Linked DNA regions of Saccharomyces cerevisiae S288C. The protein of the gene in region 3 interacts with the protein of the main gene of each other region in a biochemical or structural test. Each region holds a gene or a part of one and is shown on either strand. Other genes may lie near its edges. The genes, in order: RTT101, RFA2 and RTT105.

What was found.
Region 1: the proteins of RTT105 (region 3) and RTT101 form a complex in vitro, tested with the Saccharomyces cerevisiae proteins (one study listed by BioGRID).
Region 2: the proteins of RTT105 (region 3) and RFA2 form a complex in vitro, tested with the Saccharomyces cerevisiae proteins (3 studies listed by BioGRID).

Annotation. Positions count from the first base shown.
Region 1 is NC_001142.9:348,958-353,829, forward strand, and holds RTT101 (cullin RTT101), read right to left. Parts: upstream 3,152-4,872; coding exon 623-3,151; downstream 1-622. Other genes in the region: YJL047C-A (uncharacterized protein), read right to left, coding at 87-221; AIM22 (putative lipoate--protein ligase), read left to right, coding at 3,429-4,658. UniProt on the Saccharomyces cerevisiae protein: Core component of multiple cullin-RING-based E3 ubiquitin-protein ligase complexes (CRLs), which mediate the ubiquitination of target proteins.
Region 2 is NC_001146.8:46,469-49,793, forward strand, and holds RFA2 (Rfa2p), read left to right. Parts: upstream 1-1,818; coding exon 1,819-1,825; intron 1,826-1,933; coding exon 1,934-2,748; downstream 2,749-3,325. Other genes in the region: tetratricopeptide repeat-containing protein EMW1, read right to left, coding at 1-1,554; putative SCF ubiquitin ligase complex subunit SKP2, read right to left, coding at 2,929-3,325. UniProt on the Saccharomyces cerevisiae protein: Binds to single-stranded sequences participating in DNA replication in addition to those mediating transcriptional repression (URS1) and activation (CAR1). Stimulates the activity of a cognate strand exchange protein (SEP1).
Region 3 is NC_001137.3:364,822-367,928, forward strand, and holds RTT105 (Rtt105p), read left to right. Parts: upstream 1-1,980; coding exon 1,981-2,607; downstream 2,608-3,107. Other genes in the region: Hsp70 family chaperone SSA4, read left to right, coding at 1-1,696; NUP157 (Nup157p), read right to left, coding at 3,017-3,107. UniProt on the Saccharomyces cerevisiae protein: Involved in regulation of Ty1 transposition. Inhibits Ty1 transposition at a post-transcriptional and pre-integrational stage of the Ty1 retrotransposition cycle.

The DNA.
Region 1 (4,872 bases), on a different chromosome or scaffold from region 3:
CACTTTTAAGAGTTTCAAAACTTCCACGAATGCACAGGGAGAATAAAGTACGCGCTGGGTCCGTTACGATTCGTGCTGCAAGAGGTTTAAAATCGCTCCACAATGGTCTCGCCCCTCGGCCCTTCTCCAATTACAAGCATATTACTAATACAGTTTTCGTTTCTTTTGTAATGTTCAGATAGGAGCGAAAGACTAATTTCGATGGAAATTTTTATCTTCATTTCGATAGTATGTTCAATCAGTTGAACTATGCATCTTTGGTTATCATCATTAACAAATTGAAACGAAAAGCTATCCTGCCAAGAAGGCCGGATAGAGAGATTGAAAAAGATATATAAAGTGTCCTTGTCACACTCATACAACACCTGTTGTATGTCAGGCATACGGCAAATTGACTACAGTTTGCATTTGCACTAATGTCGTTTGCAGTGTAACTGTTGTATTGAACGTGGACAAGGACAAGAAAGATAGTTTTTATCTCTTGATGTTTTTTTATATGGAGGAGAAAGCGACGAAGTCGAAAAAAACGAAAGGAAATAAAATGCTGTCGGAAAAAAAGTTAGGGCTGGTACGGATTATAAACTATCTCAGTAGTTAGGTAATATATAAGATGGCACCAGTCTTAGTACTTGTAAGTTGCTGTTGATTCGTCCCTAGTTATGAATTTGTCTCGTAACAACTTGGCCAAGGCGTCTTTGAACTCACCAACACTAAAGCCTTTTATCTGCTGCTTTACCGTTTCAAATAAATGGTCGTAGTCTAGCCCATTCCTCTCGCTCTTAACGGATCTAGTTATGCATGCCTTTAGTAATTCTTGGGTCCATTGGGAATTACTTCCTTCGTGGTGTGCAGAACTGGTTCTTTCACCGCCTGTGTTGCTACTTTGGAGAGACGCGGTTCTCGGTAGAACCACACGTAGTTTCCCATTTTTCACTTTTTTCATATCAGGTTTGAAGCTCTCGTTGATACTGTATGTGTTGTCAATATCTCTTGTCAGAATTTTATAATTGCAGAAGGATTTTAAGACTAGCGCTAAGTCTTTGTACGCCAGTTTCGTTTGCTCTGATATAACTTGCAAGGTCAAATGATCGCTTTCGTTGAATAAAGTCAGCACACATGTTTGGAAAAGGGTCAATTCAAATATTAGGTTAGTTCCATCCTGTATGATATAAGGCGACTCCACTTCGCAGTGGTGCAAGTTCCACATCGGATATAGCTCTTTTTTGGAAGCATCTGAATCTTCCACTTTATTCTGCTCGTGATAATTACGGAGAAATTGGTTCCACGTATCATCCATCTCTTGAGGTAGGACAAAATTTTTCTTTACTTCGTTGGATTGCTGAAAAACTTTGGGAATTCTTTCTCTATCAAAGATAAGTGGGAAAAATGACTTGCTGTTGTTTTCATTGTATGTCTTCCCGAACTTCACAGCAGCCTCGATATTCTCATAAAACGACAAGAACGATGCATATTTGATTCTCAGATCTGCCATAACCTCTACCGGCTGAAAGAATTGCGATAAATAGGGTTGATATTGATCTCGGTATCGCATTTCATCCTCTTGTGAGACATTTGTTATGATTCTTTGTTTGAAAAGTTCCATGAGGCTGTCTTTGTAAACAGGTAATATATCCTTAATAAATGAGGAATTTTGATCACTTTGTAAGATCGTCTTTCTGAAAATTGATCTTTCGAAAAAATTAGGAAATGTGGGAAGGTTAACGAACTTCAGTCTCAATATAGGAAGATTTTCGTTGAGATACTTTATTTTCATATCTCTGGGTAGGTCTTTTTTAGTTGTTTTTATCTTTCTGACGATGATGAATAAATGTGACTCAAAATATTTGACATACTGTTCTATGGCTTTGCTGGTACTTCCAAGTAAATTACATAAATGGTACTCGATGGAATCGGAGTATATTTTGAGGTGATCTACATTAGCTAGCTGAACTACCTCATCAAATAGCCTTTCAGTATCATGATTGGATCCATATGCTGCCTTTAACTTTTCTGAAACGGCATCATCACAGAATTCCTTGAATTTTGACAGCATATTTTTTGCTTCAAAAGCATTTCTAAACATCAATAAGCTAAAGTGTGTCTCAGTTTTGAAATATCTCTCTTTTTCTTCATCATAAGTGTCCTTCCCAATTTCTATGTATTCGCTAATAGACTTCTTGTTCAACAGTAGATGGCTTATAAATAGGTCATTTGCATCGCTGACCCATTCAGGGGAAAATAAAGATGCTAATAATGCATTCCTCGTCAATAGTACCTTAAAATTCTTGAAAGTTTCCAGCCTCGGCCTTAAATTTGATTCCTCACAGTAATATTGTCTGAGAGTTTTCATATAAAAATCTTTGGGGCTCAAGCCCTCTATACTAAAATTGCAGTTAGACATTATACGGAGCATAGGAACTTCCTTCTCTAACATTGTATTCGTTATTGGAAACATATGAATATAGTGATGAATAGTAGCGCTTACAAGGGTGGAAAATTCCCTTCCAAAATGTGACTTCATACATTCGAAAAGTTTGGAATCATAATACTGAAATATCGTTAAGGTCTCAAATCCTAGTTCTTTTCTTATCATGGGATAATTTACCGGCACATACGATATAATAGGACCAACGGCACCCATTACGTACTGAAATAGCTTGTAAAAAGAGGTCCAATTTTTGGGTATAATTTCATAAGAATAGTCGCATCTGGTCAAAAAGCTAAGGACGTGCGCGTCAATTATTAACTTTGCCAATTCATCACAAAATTCTTGAAAACTCAGCACAATTTGGTGTTGATGTAGCAGCTGAAACTTCTTTTGCTTTTCGTCATTCCCATTAAATTCTGAGTTGTAAGGAATGTATGATTTCCTTTGCGTTAATTCACGGCAATTGTTCAACATCTTAGGCATTAGCTTTCTAAATTTAGCGGCCTTTTCTTTATTACACTCCAATTCTTTCACGTCAGTTTCAGTTATAGTTTCAGCTAAAGTAAGGTGAAAAAACTCGTGCAGCTCAGCAATCATCGTTCGATACCTGGGATTTCGCTCATCGTTAAATTTATTGTATAGTCCTAAAGCGTTGCTTGCACTCGTCTCTCTGCTTATAGACTCGTGGAATCCTTCTCTCTTGGAAACGCTCTCATTTATCATTGTTCCTGTGAACCCGTACGAGAATTTATACCAGTAAAAAAGATTGGTGGGTTTAATATCTTGAGGATTCCTTCAAAGTAGTCTTTTAGTGCAAAGATATCGATGATCTTCATTCGCATTGTTCATATTCATCATTACGCAAAGGATAGCTATGCGTTCCGCTTCGTCATACTTAATCAGGAATATTGAACATCCAAAAATCTCCGAGCTCACGTATGTAGAATTTTTGATGAATACAAAAGAAGAAAACACTAGACTTTTCTTTGATGTTTACATTATGTCTATGATGCTAAGTAATTGGGCACTCTCCCCTCGATATGTGGGACAGCGAAACCTCATACATTGCACCACTTTATTTCACACACTTACACGATGGGCAAAAGACGCAGACGATAAATATCATGATATAAACTCAATGTATGAAAACATGTTTACACCTTCAAATGATAACGTTTCAATTTTGCAGGATGAAGGTAAATCTGATTATGATACGACGAAGGCCAGCTCTATGGAAGAAGATATCAGTGCTTTTAATAAAGACTTGTACAATTTCTATAATATTGGATATGCCAAACAGATCATGTCTGCTTCACAATTGGAAAATATAGTAAAGGCAAAGGGCAGATTTGTTATACAAAGTTTATCCACCAGTCCTTATTATAATTTGGCCCTTGAAAACTATGTTTTCAAGAATACACCAAGAGCCAAAAGAGGTCCCGATAATTGCAGACTGTTATTTTACATCAATGATAGGTGCGCCGTTATAGGCAAAAACCAAAATCTGTGGCAGGAAGTAGATCTTGCTAAGCTGAAGAGTAAGAATTTCGAACTACTTAGAAGATTTTCTGGAGGTGGCACTGTACTGCATGATTTGGGCAATGTTAATTATTCATATTTAACATCAAGGGAGAAATTCGAAACAAAGTTTTTCAACAAAATGATAATTAAGTGGTTAAATTCATTGAATCCCGAACTAAGACTAGATTTGAATGAGAGAGGAGATATTATTCAGGACGGGTTTAAAATTAGTGGCAGTGCTTATAAAATTGCCGGTGGCAAAGCATACCATCATGCAACGATGTTGCTTAATGCGGATTTAGAACAGTTTAGCGGCTTATTAGAACCCTCACTACCGAACAATATGGAATGGGAGTCAAGTGGAGTTCATAGTGTAAAATCAAAAATCAAAAATGTTGGTATAATTACTCCTAATCAGTTCATTGCAGTGGTATCCGAGCGTTTTCAGAAAACATTCAAAGTTGACGGCGAAATACCTATATATTACTGTGACGAGTTTAAATCTATAAACGATGAGATTAAAGATGCTATGAACACCTTACAGAGCGAACAATGGAAATATTTCTCGGGGCCTAAATTTTCAGTGAAGATTAAAGATAAAGGCTTAACAATTAAAGTCGAAAAGGGCATGATTTATGATTGTGATAGAAATGATTTAATCGGCTTGGAATTCAAAGGATTTTTGGAGAATATTGACAGTTACACATAACGTTGATGAATATTTCAATTCACTTGTAAATAACGTAGGTAAATATCAAAATTAAAGTCTTTCACCGGAAACTGATTCAGCATATTTCAGCAGACGCGTCCTAGATTCACAGCAAACTTCAATATAAGCGATACATTAGGAGTGTTCGTACTTTAGATCTATAAGAACTATATTTTGTTACGATTCAGCCGTCTCTAAATGTGAACTAAATATT
Region 2 (3,325 bases), on a different chromosome or scaffold from region 3:
TTCAGCTAAGGTGGCATCCAATTGCCACCTAGGGATGAACGGCAGCTGGTGGATGTATGACAGCCTGCTAGCAACATTGATTTCGCTTGAACTTGGAACCAATTTACTCTTAATCTTCAAATCCAATTCTTCTACGAGGGATTGCATTTGTAAAAGTCCTCTTTCAATAGTTTTAGCCTTTGTTGTCTCAATAATTGACCTTTCCCATAATGATCGGGCGAAAATAGACCAATTTTTGTCACCGTTTTGATATAATATTCTAGAAAGCAAAGCAGTAAGTTCTTCTTCCACAAGAGGATCCTTGGCCGGAGTTGTGTTCTTTATGGTGTAAAGACGTAACAGCAACTGGATGTTGTCGTAATCAGATAGGGTAGGTTGATCGTTAGGGTTCAAATCCAGCAACAACTTTGGAATATTTTCTTGACGTAGTGCCAATGGCAATAGTTTATCTTCTTCATAACCTTCATTTAGGTCTACCTTTTGTCTTTTACTATAAATTTGCTCGTCTAGAGGTTCATCAGCAATGGACTCAAAATGAGGCTTCTCCAATAATAGATCGGACTCTAAAGCAAATGTTTCTGGTGTAGCAGATGTCGTTCTCAAAGCAAAATTTTGAAATGTGAAGGATTTGGCAAGAATGATCAAACCGGCATGAGCCTTTTGCTGATATTTAGTTCTAGTAGCGCGTGCACCCGTCATTACAAATTCAAAATTTGTTATCTTTTTCGCTCTGGTCAAGGATGGCAGGCACAAATGTTCTGTGTTGATGGCCAATGAACATTTGACATTCTCTAGATAGTACATTGCACAAAGTTCTCTTTTGAAATCTTCGTGAATACTCTCCGGTAATTCCTTAGTTATCGCATATGCAAGGTCAGCAGACTGATATATTGCAGATGCAACACTAGCTTGGAACCCAGAAGGTTCTGGAATCAGTGACAATTGCGTCAAAAGAGCTCTTGCCCACCACCAATAAGCTACAGCTAATAATCCAGGAGTAGACTCAGCAGAGATAATAGGTAGCGGAATTTCTTGATCCGGGGTAACATCAAATAAGCTTTTTTGGCCGGTTATCCTTTCAAGTAATAATAGTGATAAAACCAAATACAATGGATCATCCATAAATTCGTAGGCAGGCTGGCCCATAATGGCTAATGAGCGGGAAAGGGCTGTATTAACTGCTCCTATTTCAATTCCAGTTTTGCCAAACAAACCTGAGATTGCTTTCAACCTAGCTGCTGGGCCGGTGTAGTTATTTTGAATAAAGGTCTGTAAGAGGGCAATAGCCAAAAATAGCATCTCATTTTCTTGGCCCATTTTGAAAACCTCAACGTTAAGAAAGTCATTTAGAGCAGCAATAACACTAGATGTGGATATTTCTCCCGAAATACTAATTTTTCCCTTAAATTTGTCCACAAATTGCTGTACTAGCTGGTATGATTCACCACTGATGATATGTTCAGCCTTTTTCACATATGTCTGGTCGAAAGAACCACTTTTCAGAGATTCTACTTCTGCAGACAGCAATAATTTTGCATGCAATAACGTCTCCATAATTTTGCAACCACTAGTTTACTTTTTGCCTGGTCTGATAGCTTCTTTTTAGCAATTCCTTTGGCCTCGATGAGCTTCCATTTTCAATTTTCATCTTTTTTTTCACGATGCGAAGTTTCTTAGATAATTATCGCCATATACGAAACGCGTTAGGAAACGCGTTCTTTCCTTTATAATAAGCAATATTATATCAACTTAAGGTGGAAGTAATGTGGCAAAATCGATAGCGACTATCTAGAACAGGCTAGTTTAAGCATATACATAATGGCAAGTATGTATTAGTGCTAGGAATTGGAGGATTTGCTCTTTTCTGCATCATTTTTTTTATTTTTATTGGCGAATGTTAAAATTACTAACAATGGATGGGATTCCAATACAGCCTATCAACCATATAACGAATATTCATCAGTAACGGGCGGTGGCTTTGAGAACTCTGAGTCCCGCCCAGGTAGTGGGGAGTCGGAAACTAACACTAGAGTTAACACCTTGACACCTGTGACGATCAAACAAATTCTAGAGTCCAAACAGGATATTCAGGACGGCCCCTTCGTTTCGCATAACCAAGAACTTCATCACGTTTGTTTTGTAGGTGTGGTGAGAAACATTACAGACCATACTGCAAATATTTTTTTAACTATTGAGGATGGAACTGGTCAAATAGAAGTGAGAAAATGGAGCGAAGATGCAAATGACTTGGCTGCCGGTAACGATGACTCTTCTGGTAAAGGTTATGGTTCGCAAGTCGCCCAACAATTTGAAATTGGCGGTTACGTAAAAGTTTTTGGTGCTTTGAAAGAGTTTGGTGGTAAGAAAAATATACAGTATGCGGTGATTAAGCCCATAGATTCATTCAATGAAGTGTTGACGCATCACTTGGAAGTCATCAAATGTCATTCCATAGCCAGTGGAATGATGAAACAACCTTTGGAGAGTGCATCCAACAACAATGGGCAATCATTATTTGTCAAGGATGATAACGATACATCTTCCGGCTCCAGTCCGTTACAAAGAATTCTAGAATTTTGTAAGAAGCAATGTGAGGGCAAAGACGCTAATTCATTCGCTGTTCCCATTCCATTGATCTCGCAATCCTTGAATTTGGATGAAACTACCGTCAGAAACTGCTGTACGACCTTGACTGACCAGGGTTTTATCTACCCAACTTTTGATGACAATAACTTCTTTGCCCTATGAAAATATATAGATTATTTTTTTAGCATTTCTTAGTATTCGTTTGTGTATTTCTACTAGGTAAGTACCAAAATTTGCCGGAAATAGAGTGGAAAATGGAACCCGTTCCAAGAAGGGGTAAGATGCATGAATATTAAGTTGGTTGCATAAATATGCTATATAAAGTCCACTACAAAAAGTCATTTATTTTTGCCCGTAAGAATAAAGAACGAATCCGTCCTTATCTCTGACTTCAATGGGAACATTTACACGCAGTACGGGCTTCAATAATAGTTCCCAGTCGTATCTGGTTCTAGGTGTACATAATGAAAAATGTCTCAGCATTCTTATTTTGACAGCTTTGAATTTTGACAAATTTCTCAGGAAACACCAGAGGTTAATATTTGGAATATCTTTAAAATTCTCTGGATCTTGGAAATCATTGAAAAAATTTTCCAATGTCACATTTTGTAAGAACTCCTCCACATCTAAATCTCTATATTCGATGGTTCGGTTCTTCAATTTGATTAAACTATCTCTTAGGCAACGCCTTACAGAGTTGTTCCAATAGTAAGTGTGGTGAATGTCTGATTCAGGGCTC
Region 3 (3,107 bases):
TCCAGAAGTGACGAACGATGCTAAGCATTACCCATTCAAAGTGATTGACAAGGGAGGTAAACCGGTAGTGCAAGTGGAATATAAAGGCGAGACAAAGACATTTACTCCAGAAGAAATTTCCTCAATGATCTTGACAAAGATGAAGGAGACTGCTGAGAACTTTTTAGGAACAGAAGTGAAAGATGCTGTAGTAACGGTTCCAGCCTATTTCAACGATTCACAAAGGCAAGCAACAAAAGATGCCGGTACAATCGCGGGCTTGAACGTTCTTCGTATCATTAATGAACCTACAGCTGCCGCTATTGCGTATGGGCTGGACAAGAAATCGCAGAAGGAGCACAACGTCTTGATCTTTGATTTAGGTGGTGGTACTTTTGATGTCTCTCTGCTATCCATAGATGAAGGTGTCTTTGAGGTTAAGGCTACTGCTGGTGACACTCACTTGGGTGGTGAAGATTTCGATAGTAGGCTGGTTAACTTTCTAGCCGAGGAGTTCAAAAGAAAAAATAAAAAGGATCTAACAACTAACCAAAGGTCCCTAAGGAGGTTAAGGACCGCCGCTGAAAGGGCCAAGAGAACTCTGTCTTCGTCTGCTCAGACATCTATAGAAATAGATTCATTATTTGAGGGTATCGATTTCTATACTTCCATTACAAGGGCAAGATTTGAAGAATTATGTGCTGATTTGTTTAGATCTACATTGGAGCCAGTGGAAAAAGTTTTGGCTGATTCAAAATTAGATAAGTCACAAATTGATGAAATTGTACTTGTTGGTGGTTCAACAAGAATTCCAAAAGTACAAAAACTGGTTTCTGATTTTTTCAATGGTAAAGAACCAAACCGTTCGATTAACCCTGATGAGGCCGTCGCTTATGGTGCTGCCGTACAGGCTGCCATCTTAACGGGTGACCAGTCGTCGACGACCCAAGATTTACTGTTGCTGGATGTTGCACCATTATCTCTAGGTATTGAAACTGCAGGTGGTATTATGACAAAGTTGATCCCAAGAAATTCGACTATCCCAACAAAAAAATCGGAAGTGTTTTCCACCTACGCTGACAACCAACCTGGTGTGTTGATACAAGTTTTTGAGGGTGAAAGGACAAGGACAAAAGACAACAATCTACTGGGTAAATTTGAGTTGAGCGGTATTCCACCCGCTCCAAGAGGCGTACCACAAATTGAAGTTACATTTGATATCGATGCAAATGGTATTCTGAACGTATCTGCCGTTGAAAAAGGTACTGGTAAATCTAACAAGATTACAATTACTAACGATAAGGGAAGATTATCGAAGGAAGATATCGATAAAATGGTTGCTGAGGCAGAAAAGTTCAAGGCCGAAGATGAACAAGAAGCTCAACGTGTTCAAGCTAAGAATCAGCTAGAATCGTACGCGTTTACTTTGAAAAATTCTGTGAGCGAAAATAACTTCAAGGAGAAGGTGGGTGAAGAGGATGCCAGGAAATTGGAAGCCGCCGCCCAAGATGCTATAAATTGGTTAGATGCTTCGCAAGCGGCCTCCACCGAGGAATACAAGGAAAGGCAAAAGGAACTAGAAGGTGTTGCAAACCCCATTATGAGTAAATTTTACGGAGCTGCAGGTGGTGCCCCAGGAGCAGGCCCAGTTCCGGGTGCTGGAGCAGGCCCCACTGGAGCACCAGACAACGGCCCAACGGTTGAAGAGGTTGATTAGATAAATACAAAGATGCGATGAAGTAGCAGCATCGAATTTCTTAGTTTTCCCTCTTAACAACTTTTTATAAGTATATATATAAGATACACAATCAGTAATTAGCAAATGACTACTATTTGTACGTTCTCATCGTCATAAGCCAGAGTTTAATTAAGTGCCTCAACCGGGATGCGATTTCGCGTTCATATACAAAGCCGAAATGACAATAAGAAAGTCATCGCCAAACAACACGACTAATTGACCATTAAAAGGAACAAAATACAGTCAAAGAGTTTAGCTCGGAAATGTACAGCAATCATAATTTAAATTCGGATGACTGTTGCTTCGATTGGAATGAAGAGAAGGCCGCAGAACTACAGCGTACAGGTGTTTCTTTTGACCGGAGTTTAACACCTCAATCTTTAAGAACATCTACACGTAGACTATCAGAAGAGAACAAACAACAAAGTGGCACTATGCACATTGACACTTCCCCTTCTGTGGTTTCAGATATAATATCAAGTAGACGAGATCGTTCACAGGATTTTTTTGGGCCTCATTCTTCATCCCCTATTGCCCCTTCAGAACGACAACGAGCGGATCAGAGATCACGGTTGGAGTCCATGAGATTAACTAGACGTCGAGACAAAATGACCAAAGTACGCGGTGGCCTAGAAAAGATGGAAGAAATGATCATGCAAGGTGAACACCTTAGAGAAATGCAAAGGCTAAAGCAGGAAGCACAAAAGAACGCTCTACCCTCTGACATGGCTGAATATATGGAATGGCAAAACAACGAGGATTTGGAAGACGATGAGTTGCTTGCCTTTATTGAAAAACAGGAAACTTATAAAAATGAATTAGAACACTTTTTGAACAATGCTAATAAAAATGTTTATGAGAACAACTCGTATCCGAACTCTCATACGTGATGGCATCATTGCTATTACAGAAATAGCCCTAGCCTGTCATATTTAACTGAGCTGTTGAGTATGGGCATCTTTCCGCATGCGCTAACTACGGAGCTGGCTCTTCCCCTTCTATTAATCCTTCTGGCAGGAAGCGAAAGCGACTGATGTCGTTTCTACGTTTCTATGTATATTCTATCGCGTTTAAGTGTGTATATTTTGAGCTGCTCAAGTGAAGGGAACGTATTCAGAATAACTAGATTCTCTGCCATACGATCAACTAACTGTTTACCATATACAGTCTCAGTTCGCTACGGTTAGCGTACCGTAAAACAGCAGTTTACATTCACTATATAAAGGATGACGTAAGAATTTGCCTACGTATTAAAGAAAACTTCACAATCAAACTGCTAAAATATACAAATAATTCCGTTCATTTCAGGCCATGATGACGATCCTTCACATAATCTTGAACGGGATCGGTATTCGGATCATATTTCTCCAATTTTTTGATTTGTTCTGGC